Cricetulus griseus: one gene and its partner. The protein of the gene in region 1 interacts with the protein of each later gene in a pairwise test. Links are inferred from orthologs where the notes say so. Each region holds a gene or a part of one and is shown on either strand. Other genes may lie near its edges.

Region 1 (5,324 bases):
TCGGGGTCAGACTGACGGTGACAGGAGGTCAGAGCTTCACCGGGATCTCAGACACAGCTGTCATTGACTTCCCAGAGGAAAGAGCAAGCAATCAAGCGTGGGACTTGGCAAAGGCTGGAGTGGCGGCACCTGGATGATGCTGGTTCCGTTTCGAAAGTTGGTGAAACTCCGCATTACATCCTGACTCAGAGACTCCACCGACGCCTTCCAGGAACCACCAAAGCCACGGATCAGCTGAGTGACTCTGGCTGCCCACGGGAGGGAAGGGAGTGTCAGAGAGCAACCAGGCCTGGGGACCATCCACCCCGGCGAGGCCTGCCTGGGGCACAGCCATGCTCACCCTCAATCCCGGCTCCCTGGTGCTCCTCCATTCAAGTCCTCCCCTCTGTGCCACCGCCCCTGAGACCTGCACACTCTCACTGTCCTTTTAACTCAGCTCCCCACAGTCCCGCGACAACAGTCTCATACCTTCTTCCCCTCGAAGTCGCTCAGCCTGTCCACGCTCAATCAAAGCCTCAGCCTCCTTCACAAACGCCACCAGACCCCCGAAGGGGGGAGACAGCAACTCTTCAATGAATTCCTAGAGAGAAGTGCAAGCTGGAACTGAGTCAGGGGTCCTGGGAACAAAGGACCCCAACATGGACTGGGAGGACTAGGAGGGGACACTCCACAGAGCAGCCGGCCTTGGGGAGGAGGGGAGAAGTGCTTGGTCCCCAGAACACAAAGTGGAAGAAGCAAGAAAGGAACCCAGTCCTGACATTGTCCTATGACCTCCATGTGTTTCACAACATGTGCCTGGGAGTGCGCTCACATATACGTACACACACACACACACACACACACACACACACACACACACACACACAAATAATGCCCTGCAAAGCAGGTGTAAACACACACATACATACATACTTATATACACACATACATACACCGTTATAGTTTTTTGCTTTTAAGTTATTAATTTATTGATAAATTAAATGAGACAGACTAGCAGCAGGCAGTGAGTTGTCACCATGACTGCACACTGAGGTCTCCCTGCCAAGCCCAGGCCCTACCTGTGTCCGCGCATTGAGCAGCTGCTGGAAACTCTCCACCTCTTTGCTGTCGTCAGCAGCCCGCTCCTAAGGAAGACAAAGAGTGAGGAACTTGGGAACAGCCTTCAGCCCAGCACCTCCTGTAATCGCACACCACACCGCAGACACTGCCAGAATCCAGGGCTAAAGCCCCCTTGGTGAGGCTGACGAGCATGGGCACGCCCCGTGGGGGAGGGCAGCATTACCATCAGCACACCCAGCATCATGTCGTAGTTGTTGATCAGAAACACGAGCTGCTCCTTCCTGGAGGAGAACTCCGCAGCCACTCGGAGGACAAAGTTCTCCACCTCCACCTGCAAAAGCCAAACAGAGAGCAAGTCAGAGACACAGGTCCCAGGGCCCCTCCCCATGCTGGGAAGCCTGCCCGCCCCGCCCGGCCCACCTGGAGCTGCCCCAGCAGCTGCAGGGTGCGCTCATTGGGGATGGTCTGGTTGATGCTGACAAGGGCAGACGAGAACTCGGCATAGCGGCGCGTGATCTAGGACCAAGGAGGGGAGACGCCCATCAGCCTGCCAGGCCGACATAACCTCCCAGCAGCCTCTGCAGCTCCTGTCCCCAGTCCCTCCTCCTGCAGTGGCCAGCCCACCGCTGCGTGTGACCCCGAGACCCCTTGTTATCCTCCCCCGCCCTCACATAGTGGGGCCGCGTGTCCAGTCCTCCGAGGCGCTGGGGGTCGGTGGTGCGGACACTCTGGACGTTCATCTCCAGGATCAGCTCAAACCGAGGCCACAGCAAGGCCAACACCTGCTCCCAGTACCTGCAGGGTCAGTCAGAACCAAAGGTCAGCAGGCTACGGGTGCTGGCAGGCCATGGGGGCACAGCACCCTTCAGGGGAATGTGAGCGGGTGTGTGTGTGCCTGTGTGTCCGTGTCTGTATGCACGGATGTGTGTGTGTGTGTGTGTGTGTGTGTGTGTGTGTGTGTGTGTGTGTGTGACAGGGATGCTGCCTTGGGGACACACACAGGATAAGGGTGAAGGACATCGGGTGAGGAGGAGCCAGGGGCAGGGTGGAGTTGTCGGTGTGAGATAAAAAGCTGGACCCAGCAGGCACCAGGACCAGAGCTCAGTGACCTGTCCAGAGCAGGGACATCCCTCTTCGATGCAATGCTGCGGAATCGGAGGACAATGTGGATACAGAGAAAAACAGCAATGGCGTCATAGCAGTCGGCCAGGTAGGACTCCAGGTGTTTCTGCGGCACAGCAGGCAGACAACTGAATGCTAGTTTGAAGTTCCAGTGGCTATGAGCAAATGGATGTGCACTTCTGGGGACAAGGCGCTGGCTAGGGAGACACCTCCTTCCTTGTCCAGGGGCCCTGACTTACTCACTGGCCTCAACTCTGTAAGCTCCTCACAGTTGAAGCCAGGGCTGAGCCTGGGATGGAGGTAAAGGATCGCGATTTAGAGGTCTTGCTCTCTGCTTGTGGAAACAGAGGAAGCAGCAGGTCCCCCGAGTTCTGAGGGTTTCCTAGGGGGCCATGTTGTGAGATAAAGGCTTGGACAACGTAGAACGGGACATCCTGCATTCAATACTGCCACTGTGACCCCACTGGACGTGGAGGAGCCCTGGGAAGGGAGAGTAAAAGCACAGAATCGGGGACTTACCAGAGTCATGGCGAGCGTGCGGCCCATGACAGCATGGAACAGGTCATGTGCAGCTGGGCCAGACACAACAAAAAATTCACAGATGAAAAGATACTCCCGGCAGGAATTGTCAAGGAGCGCGTAGTGCTGGCTGCGGAAGAGAGCTTCAAACGGATACTACGGGACAGAGAGAGGGGTGGATCCAACACTGACCCCGCAGATACGGGGGCTCAGTGTATCCCAGGAACCAGAGCTCGGAAGACCCCACACATACCTCACCTCCAGGAAGGGAGGGGCACCCTGGGGGCGCACAGGACACAAGGAAAGCCCACCCCACTGGCTGCGGCCATCCCCACATCCACTCCAGCTGCTGCCTCATGACAGCCACCCCACGACCAGTCTCCCTCTGCACCCTAAGCCCATGGCTCCTGTCCCCACAGCGCAGCAGGCGAATTGATCCCCAGCCACGGAGGGGGCCTCCTCATACCCTCTGCTCCCCACGCTGGGCAGTATGGGGCACCAGGATGGGGGCCTCCAGTTCGGTGGGGGAGATGACCGCACCACGGGTGCCCAGGGTGAAGATGGTGTTCCTGCTTCGGAGGGACGGCTTCGAGAAGAATCGTGAACAGCATCAGAGTCAGGGAAAACACTGAGAATGACCAAGCAGGCCATGAAGCCAAGACCTGAGCACTCTGGGAAGCTAAATATGAGCTGGACATCCCTTCCAGAACCAGGGCCTCGCTTCACCTGATACCTGTAATGGGCGTCAGGGATTCTACAAGCCCTCCGAAATCCACGTGAAAAACTGTCAGAATGATGTGAGCCTCTGGGAGGGGAGCTCTCGCTCTCTCTCACATCCTCAAAGGTTACATCCCAGACACAGGGTAAGCAGAGGCCTGTGGGCTGGAGCCAGGCATCCCCACTGTGAGCCTGACAGGAGGTGAGCCTGACTTGAGGGAGGTGAGCCTGACTTGAGGGAGGTGGAGCCTGACTTGAGGGAGGTGGAGCCTGACTTGAGGGAGGTGGAGCCTGACTTGAGGGAGGTGGAGCCTGACTTGAGGGAGGTGGAGCCTGACTTGAGGGAGGTGGAGTCTGACTTGAGGGAGGTGGAGTCTGACTTGAGGGAGGTGGAGCCTGACTTGAGGGAGGTGGAGCCTGACTTGAGGGAGGTGGAGCCTGACTTGAGGGAGGTGGAGCCTGACTTGAGGGAGGTGGAGCCTGACTTGAGGGAGGTGGAGCCTGACTTGAGGGAGGTGGAGCCTGACTTGAGGGAGGTGGAGCCTGATTTGAGGGAGGTGGAGCCTGACTTGAGGGAGGTGGAGCTTGACTTGAGAGGGGTGGAGCCTGACTTGAGGGAGGTGGAGCCTGACTTGAGGGAGGTGGAGCCTGACTTGAGGGAGGTGAACCTGACTTGAGGGAGGTGGAGCCTGACTTGAGGGAGGTGGAGCCTGAATTAGGGAGGTGGAGCCTGACTTGAGGGAGGTGGAGCCTGACTTGAGGGAGGTGGAGCCTGACATGAGGGAGGTGGAGCCTGACTTGAGGGAGGTGGAGCCTGACTTGAGGGAGGTGGAGCCTGACTTGAGGGAGGTGGAGCCTGACTTGAGGGAGGTGGAGCCTGACTTGAGGGAGGTGGAGCCTGACTTGAGGGAGGTGGAGTCTGACTTGAGGGAGGTGGAGTCTGACTTGAGGGAGGTGGAGCCTGACTTGAGGGAGGTGGAGCCTGACTTGAGGGAGGTGGAGCCTGACTTGAGGGAGGTGGAGCCTGACTTGAGGGAGGTGGAGCCTGACTTGAGGGAGGTGGAGCCTGACTTGAGGGAGGTGGAGCCTGACTTGAGGGAGGTGGAGCCTGACTTGAGGGAGGTGGAGCCTGACTTGAGGGAGGTGAGCCTGACGCGAGGCTCCCTGGTCCAGGATATCTTTCTTTGCTGTGTCTTCCACACCCATCAGATCGTCCTTCTCAGCAACTTCCTCGTACTAGAGAAAACAACAGAGAGCTCAACCATGGCTGCCCACCACCAGCAGGTGAGGAACTCAGTCCCTCCTCCAAGCCCCTGCCTACAGACACCTGTCCCCGCCTGTCCCTGCCTGGCTCACCTGCACTTTCATGAGCCGCCCCAGATAGGAGCGGAAGTAAGACAGGTAGATCTTGCTCAGCGTCTCCACGTACTCATCCCTGATCTCCTTGGCTGTTGCTCGCTCGTTGCCCAACAGGAACTGATAGAAGAACCTGGAAGGGCCAGGGCGAGTCAGACCCTGGACATCCATGCTGGGCCGTTAAGAAGCTCACAGGCCGTCCCGGGGTGGCGACCTGTACTTCAGCAGGGCCGTCTGGGGGATCTGATAGTTGGTCATCGGCTTTCTGAATGAATAAATCTTCTGGAGGATGAACTCTCGGATCTTCGTCACCGCCTAGGTGAGGGGACAAACAGGTCATGATGTTGTGGGCTCTTACTGTGTGGAGGAAGGAGGAGACAGACGTGACGGCGAAGGGGAGGGAGAGAATACTTCCGATGTGTGCTGTGTTATTATTTATTTACTTTTGTTGAGTCGGGGTTTCTGTGTGTAGTCCAGGCTGTCCTGGAACTCACACAGGTCCATCTGCCTCTCCCTCCCCAGTGCTAGGGCTAAAATGTCTTACCACCATG
Region 2 (5,324 bases), on another chromosome or scaffold:
AGCACCCTGCCTCCTCCACAGCAGGGCGCCCTCTCTTCCCAGCTTTCCCTATCACCTCAATGCCCTGAGTGAAGGAAGGAAGGAGAGGCCCAGAGCTTACCCAGAACTTCACAAGGAAGAAGGCATTAGAAGGCCCCCGTTCAAATAGCTCCTTGAGGCCACCCTTCCTCTCTGGGAATTTGTCGTAGATCTGGTGGATGTCCACGGCTTCGAGGTAGGGGTCACTGTAGCTTGGGCTCGACTGGCTAATGTGCACAAACAGGTGCTTGCTGTACTGTGGACCGAAGAACAATCAGTCTGAGATCCGAAGCCAAAGGGTAGGCTAGAGAGACAGCCCAACTGCCTGCCTCTCTTGTGACCTGGGGCAAATCTCTTTACCTCTCTGGGCCTCACTTTCCTCCCTGGGAAGAGGGAGACAAAATGGGTCAGAAGCGACCTGCTGTATCCTCAGCTTCCCGCGCCCCGCCCCCTCATAGACAAGGACTGGAGGGCAGGGGGGAGGGCAGGGGTTGGGAGGAAAGGAAAAGAAATTGGAGATAGTGGAGAAACCTGAGAGAGCTGAGAGGGAGAGCTCTAGAGAGCAAGGGAAAGCATGGAACAGAGGAGGAGGGGGCAGGCAGGCGAGGAGAGAAGAAAGAATAAGGAATCTATTAAGCCCTGAAGGGAGAGGGGGAGAAAGGTAAGAAAGCCAGAGGGGGGTGGGGAGGAGTGAGACCTCTGGGCCTGCGGGGTCTACTCTGGAGGCAGGACTTCCGGGGTGGGACCCACTTATTAGGGTGGGCACTAGGGAACCTACTATGGGGATAGGGCCTCCAGTGACAGGGGCATGTAGCACGGGGACAGAAGCTTCAGGACTTGAGGCTTACTTTGAGGACAGGGGCTTGTGGGATTGGGAACCTACTCTGGGCCTGCAAGACTGAGGCCCTACAGCAATGGCAGAGCCTCTGAGATTAAGATGGCCTCTCTTGGGGTAAGACAGTCAGACATGGAAGACCTACTGTGTCAGGATCTTGCTGGCGCTCCAGGAAAGCAGAGAACTCCAACATCCAGAGCTTGGAGCTGGCCACACTGCGGCCTTGCCATGGGGAAGCTGGCGGAGCAGAGGGTGATGGGGTGGGTCCTGCAGGAGATTCAAAGCCTATAAGAAGGGAGAGAGACACATTGTCCTCCCTGCTGCTATCCTCAGTGAGGACTGAACAAAACCAGTGAAAAGCTTGCCCAGTGGTGGGACAGAGCCTATGAAAGATCCAGCCAGTGGTCCCAGGCTTCTGCACAGGCTCTTGCACCAGGCAGATGGATCTGAACAGCACAGGCTGCCTGGAAAACTGCCAGGGCAGGCACAGCAGGACTCTTGCCCTAGGGCCATTTCTAGTCCAGGCAGTTAGATAGCCAGTTGAAACAACTAGCACAATAGATTCCAAGGCCCTGGGAGCAGGAAGTTTCCTGGAGGACTCACAGTTGCCGAAAACCCATAGAACACCACCTACAACAGAGGGTTCTAATGAAGGCAGGCCTGGGCCAGCCTGATAGAGGTGTGCCCTGGGCACCACAGAAGACTTCTTGGTGCTCCTGAGGCTGAGCAAGATAAGGAAGTCATTAGTTCAAATGACAAGTGCTGAGTGAAGATAGGGAAAGGGAACCCAAGCTGGGAAGAGTCAAAGGTGAATGTGGGGGTGGGGGTGGGGGTGGGGGACGGGGACGGGAACCAACTGAGAGAATCTGTAAGGCCACATCTTCATGTCTGAAGAGCATGTCTGAACTGGTAGTGGCTGGAAACAGGCTCTGTAGTCAGCCCGAGATGCTGCAAACAGGATGGATTGATTCTATTCCTAAATCAAGGAAAGCCTATGGTCGAATCAAGTGGGGCTGGGAAGTTGTCAGTTCTGCAATTTTTTTTTTTTTTTCCTGGTAATACTGGGGATGGAATCCTGCCTAGAGCAGGGAATGTGAACTAAAATTCCTGAAAAGAAGCTGTGCCTGGCTGTGAACAAAAACTCCTGGAAGGAGTTTCTGTGTCCGCCGAGACTGATGGACCGATTGGAATTTCAGGGCTCTGGAGAGACCGGAAATATATAGGGTCAGAGGCTGATTACTTTATCTTGGGCTAGTGTTAGCCTTCTGGGACAGCCATGCCTTGACTCACTCTGTATCTGAACTAACACCTCGTGATAATAAATAGAAAGCTCTTAGAAGCCATTAACTCAGCAGAACACCAGGAGCTAAGAGTGACATCACATAGCATCTTATACCTATAGAATAGGTCCCCCATCTCCTTGTACCCACCTCTCTGCTGTATCCAGTGTATTTTAAAGTTGCCTTGATTTTATGACTTTCTTTGTTCAGTAAAACTATGAAAATCCTGTGAAATCATTTCCAGGGTGGAATATGAAACTTGGGGTAACCTAAATCTGTGTTCCCAGGCCATGGTCACTCACAATGGCTCCAGAATAAAATATCTCTTATTCCTTTTAAGATGAGAGCTGTGACCGGGCGGTGGTAGTGCATACCTTTAATCCCAGCACTTGGGAAGCAGAGGCAGGCGGATCTCAGTGAGTTCGAGACAGCCTGGTCTGCAAGAGCTAGTTCCAGGACAGCCTCCAAAGCCACTCAAACCAAAAACAAAAAGATGAGAGCTTTGGTTTTTATGCTGAGAGTACTCTAGACAAGCTCTCGGTCACTCAGCTTAGCAGTTTTTCATTCCTTCTTCATTGTGGAAGAAAGGTAGGATTGGGGGGGGGCACATTAAGGGCAAGGCCTTTATGAATCAGGTTTTCCTTCTGGTGGCCACTGGTACCCTGGGCAGAAGCAATGAACTCAGGCACAGGGGGAAAAAAAACAAAAAACAAAAAACAAAGAAGAGACCAAGAACAGTCCAGGAGAGCGGCCAACCATGCTGACCACACCAGCCCATGCTTAGTGCAGCCACCAAATCTTTCTTCCCTTCCATCCTGCAGCCCCAGTGCACCCAGGAACTGCTGTGAACACAGCACAGGATACCCACAAGGATCTGCAGATACCAGCTTCGGAGGCACAGTCAGACACGAACAGGAAGAACACCCCTGATAGACAAAGGTCTGCAGAGCCCTGGATGGGCAAACAGAGGCCATCTAACCTGGGTGGGGCCGGTAGGAGGAACCGTGGCCCAGGAGGAGCAGTCTAGCACAGCACCACGGGGCCAGGAAGCATTTAAGCCTGGAAATCCCATGATGAGAGGGATGCTTTGAGAATCTTGGGCAGCCAGTTAAGAAGCCACCGCAGGAATCCAGGCAAGAACTAGGAGGATCTGAGTACAGACCGCATCAGCATGGACAGAGGGAAGAGAACAGAAAAGAGGACAGGACATGAGGACTGGGCCCGACTCAGTGATGCTCCCTCTGTGGGTGAAAGAAGCGGTGATCAGACATCAGGTGTGGCAGGAAAGCCTGAGAGGCTGCAACTGCAATATCTCAGCTGGTCACTCTCCAAGGAAGGTTGAAAGCCTAGCCTGGACTGCAGCGTGGAAGGGGCTGAGGGAGCCTCTTGGGAAAAGGTCAGAGCTGGCCCACTGAGGCCTGAGGAAGGGCCCAAACCAGTAAGTCACTGCTGTCACATTGCCCAACAGCACTTTCCAGCCATCAGGAAGGGTGCTAGGGAGGGGCTTGCAAGCCAGTTCCCTTCAGCTCCCAATTGAGAGACAATAGGCAGCACTCTAAGGATGAAGCCTGAAGAACCAGCACATATACCCTACAACAGCGGCCTGGGGACACAGGCACTTCCTCCCAATTCTGTGTCCCAGCCAGGCCTGAGCACAACTGGCAAGAAGTACAGCATTTGGTGTCACCCCAGGATGCCATGTTACCTATGAGGAAGTGTGGTATAGAGAGAAAATTGGGGTGTACGGTCTTGACACATGATGTCATGACATCTAACAGGACCCCAGGTGCTGGGAGCCTGGGACCAAAGGCAGGAGCCATAGGGTTTGACACACAAGGGGATCATGCATCATTACTTACCTGGCAGAGGCAGCGGAGGCTGGACAGTATAGGTGTTCTGAGAGAAAGGTTTCACACTGTGGGAAAAAGGAGAGAGGAGGCATCAGCCATTGGGAAGGGCTGCAGGGTAGCTCTGGTGGCTTGGCCACTGGTGGCCTTAGCAGGCATTGGTTTCCAGCACCGTCCCCTGCCAATTCCCTCAGGTTTTATGTTTGAGTCATAGAAGCAATATGTCTGTTGGTGCACTCCACCTCCCATCAAGCAGAGGCCAAGCAGATGTCTCGCTGGGTACCAAGCTTTAGAGCCCCTCCTATACCCTGTCCTGATGAGCACTTCAGTAAATGGCACTCCAAGTGTGGACAATGCAGACTAAGCAAGTGACGTCTGAGAGCAAAGCCTCATCCCTAAGGTCAAGGCCATCCTGGAAAGGCCGATCTCACACTGCAGCCCATCTCCCCCTGCTTCCACCTCCCCAAGCTAGGCTCCATTTCCTAAAGTGCTGGGTTCGAATTCAGCTCGGGGAGCTTGGGATAGAAAAATCAAACCGTACTCACTCATGGGATGTTCCGGGTTGGCCTGGCAAAGCTCCTTGCCAAAACTGTGGAGGTAAAAGGTACAGACTCAGCTTGGCTGTGTTGTGCACAGGGCCAGAGCCCAGGAGGATTGAGGGAGAGACCATGCAGGCCTCTGGGTGTGAAAGGAGGAAGAAAGGCAGCTCCAGCAGTGGGAGGAAGGAAAGCCAATGCCTCTGTTTAACTGGCTGACGCTAACAGGCGCAGCAACACCAAGGTGTCCTTCCCTGAGCCCCACCGGGAAAGCCAGGCTTGCTGACCCCGCACTTTCTCCCTCCCATCGAGACTCGCAGTGTTCTTCAGCATGTAAAGGTTCCCAGGTCCTAAAGTCAAGAAATCTACGCAGGGGCTCAGTGGTAGAGCATGTGCTTAGCTTGCATAAGGTGCATGGTTCCCACATCGAATACAAAAAATTATACAATCCAAGCGTCTACACAATCATGTTCTGTCCTGTCTACTTAACATCCCACCTAGCAGTCTTTAGGACTCCCTGTGAAATACGACGGCAGAGAGGCCTGTGGAATTTAACACATGTCCCTCCCCGCATGTGAGGGCAGTGTAAGTGAGGCCTCTTACGGAGGCTATATGACAAGCTTGGGAAGGGGGACCATTCCTGGAACATTCTAAAAGTGTGGCAATGTGGACATGGCTAAGAGACTGGTCATTAGGCGGACAAAAATCAAAATCTGAGCACAGGTTTGTCATTAGGTATCAGCTGTCCACACAGGAGGTGGGCTTTGCCTCGATACTGAGCAGGAGGAGTTGGGTCACGGGTGAATAA

The links.
Region 2: the proteins of Vps52 (region 1) and Tead4 interact in binary tests that used the Homo sapiens proteins (3 or more experiments, as listed by UniProt). The two-hybrid records come from large-scale screens. The link is inferred for Cricetulus griseus from reciprocal best matches to the Homo sapiens genes VPS52 and TEAD4.

The regions. Positions count from the first base shown.
Region 1 is NW_023276806.1:232,050,004-232,055,327, forward strand, and holds part of Vps52 (vacuolar protein sorting-associated protein 52 homolog), read right to left. Parts: intron 5,089-5,324; coding exon 4,988-5,088; intron 4,907-4,987; coding exon 4,774-4,906; intron 4,654-4,773; coding exon 4,596-4,653; intron 3,301-4,595; coding exon 3,167-3,300; intron 2,857-3,166; coding exon 2,701-2,856; intron 2,288-2,700; coding exon 2,169-2,287; intron 1,855-2,168; coding exon 1,731-1,854; intron 1,576-1,730; coding exon 1,480-1,575; intron 1,391-1,479; coding exon 1,283-1,390; intron 1,125-1,282; coding exon 1,059-1,124; intron 581-1,058; coding exon 469-580; intron 249-468; coding exon 130-248; intron 1-129. UniProt on the Homo sapiens protein: Acts as a component of the GARP complex that is involved in retrograde transport from early and late endosomes to the trans-Golgi network (TGN).
Region 2 is NC_048601.1:18,162,151-18,167,474, reverse strand, and holds part of Tead4 (transcriptional enhancer factor TEF-3), read right to left. Parts: intron 4,570-5,324; coding exon 4,526-4,569; intron 4,049-4,525; coding exon 3,993-4,048; intron 1,139-3,992; coding exon 999-1,138; intron 275-998; coding exon 101-274; intron 1-100. UniProt on the Homo sapiens protein: Transcription factor which plays a key role in the Hippo signaling pathway, a pathway involved in organ size control and tumor suppression by restricting proliferation and promoting apoptosis.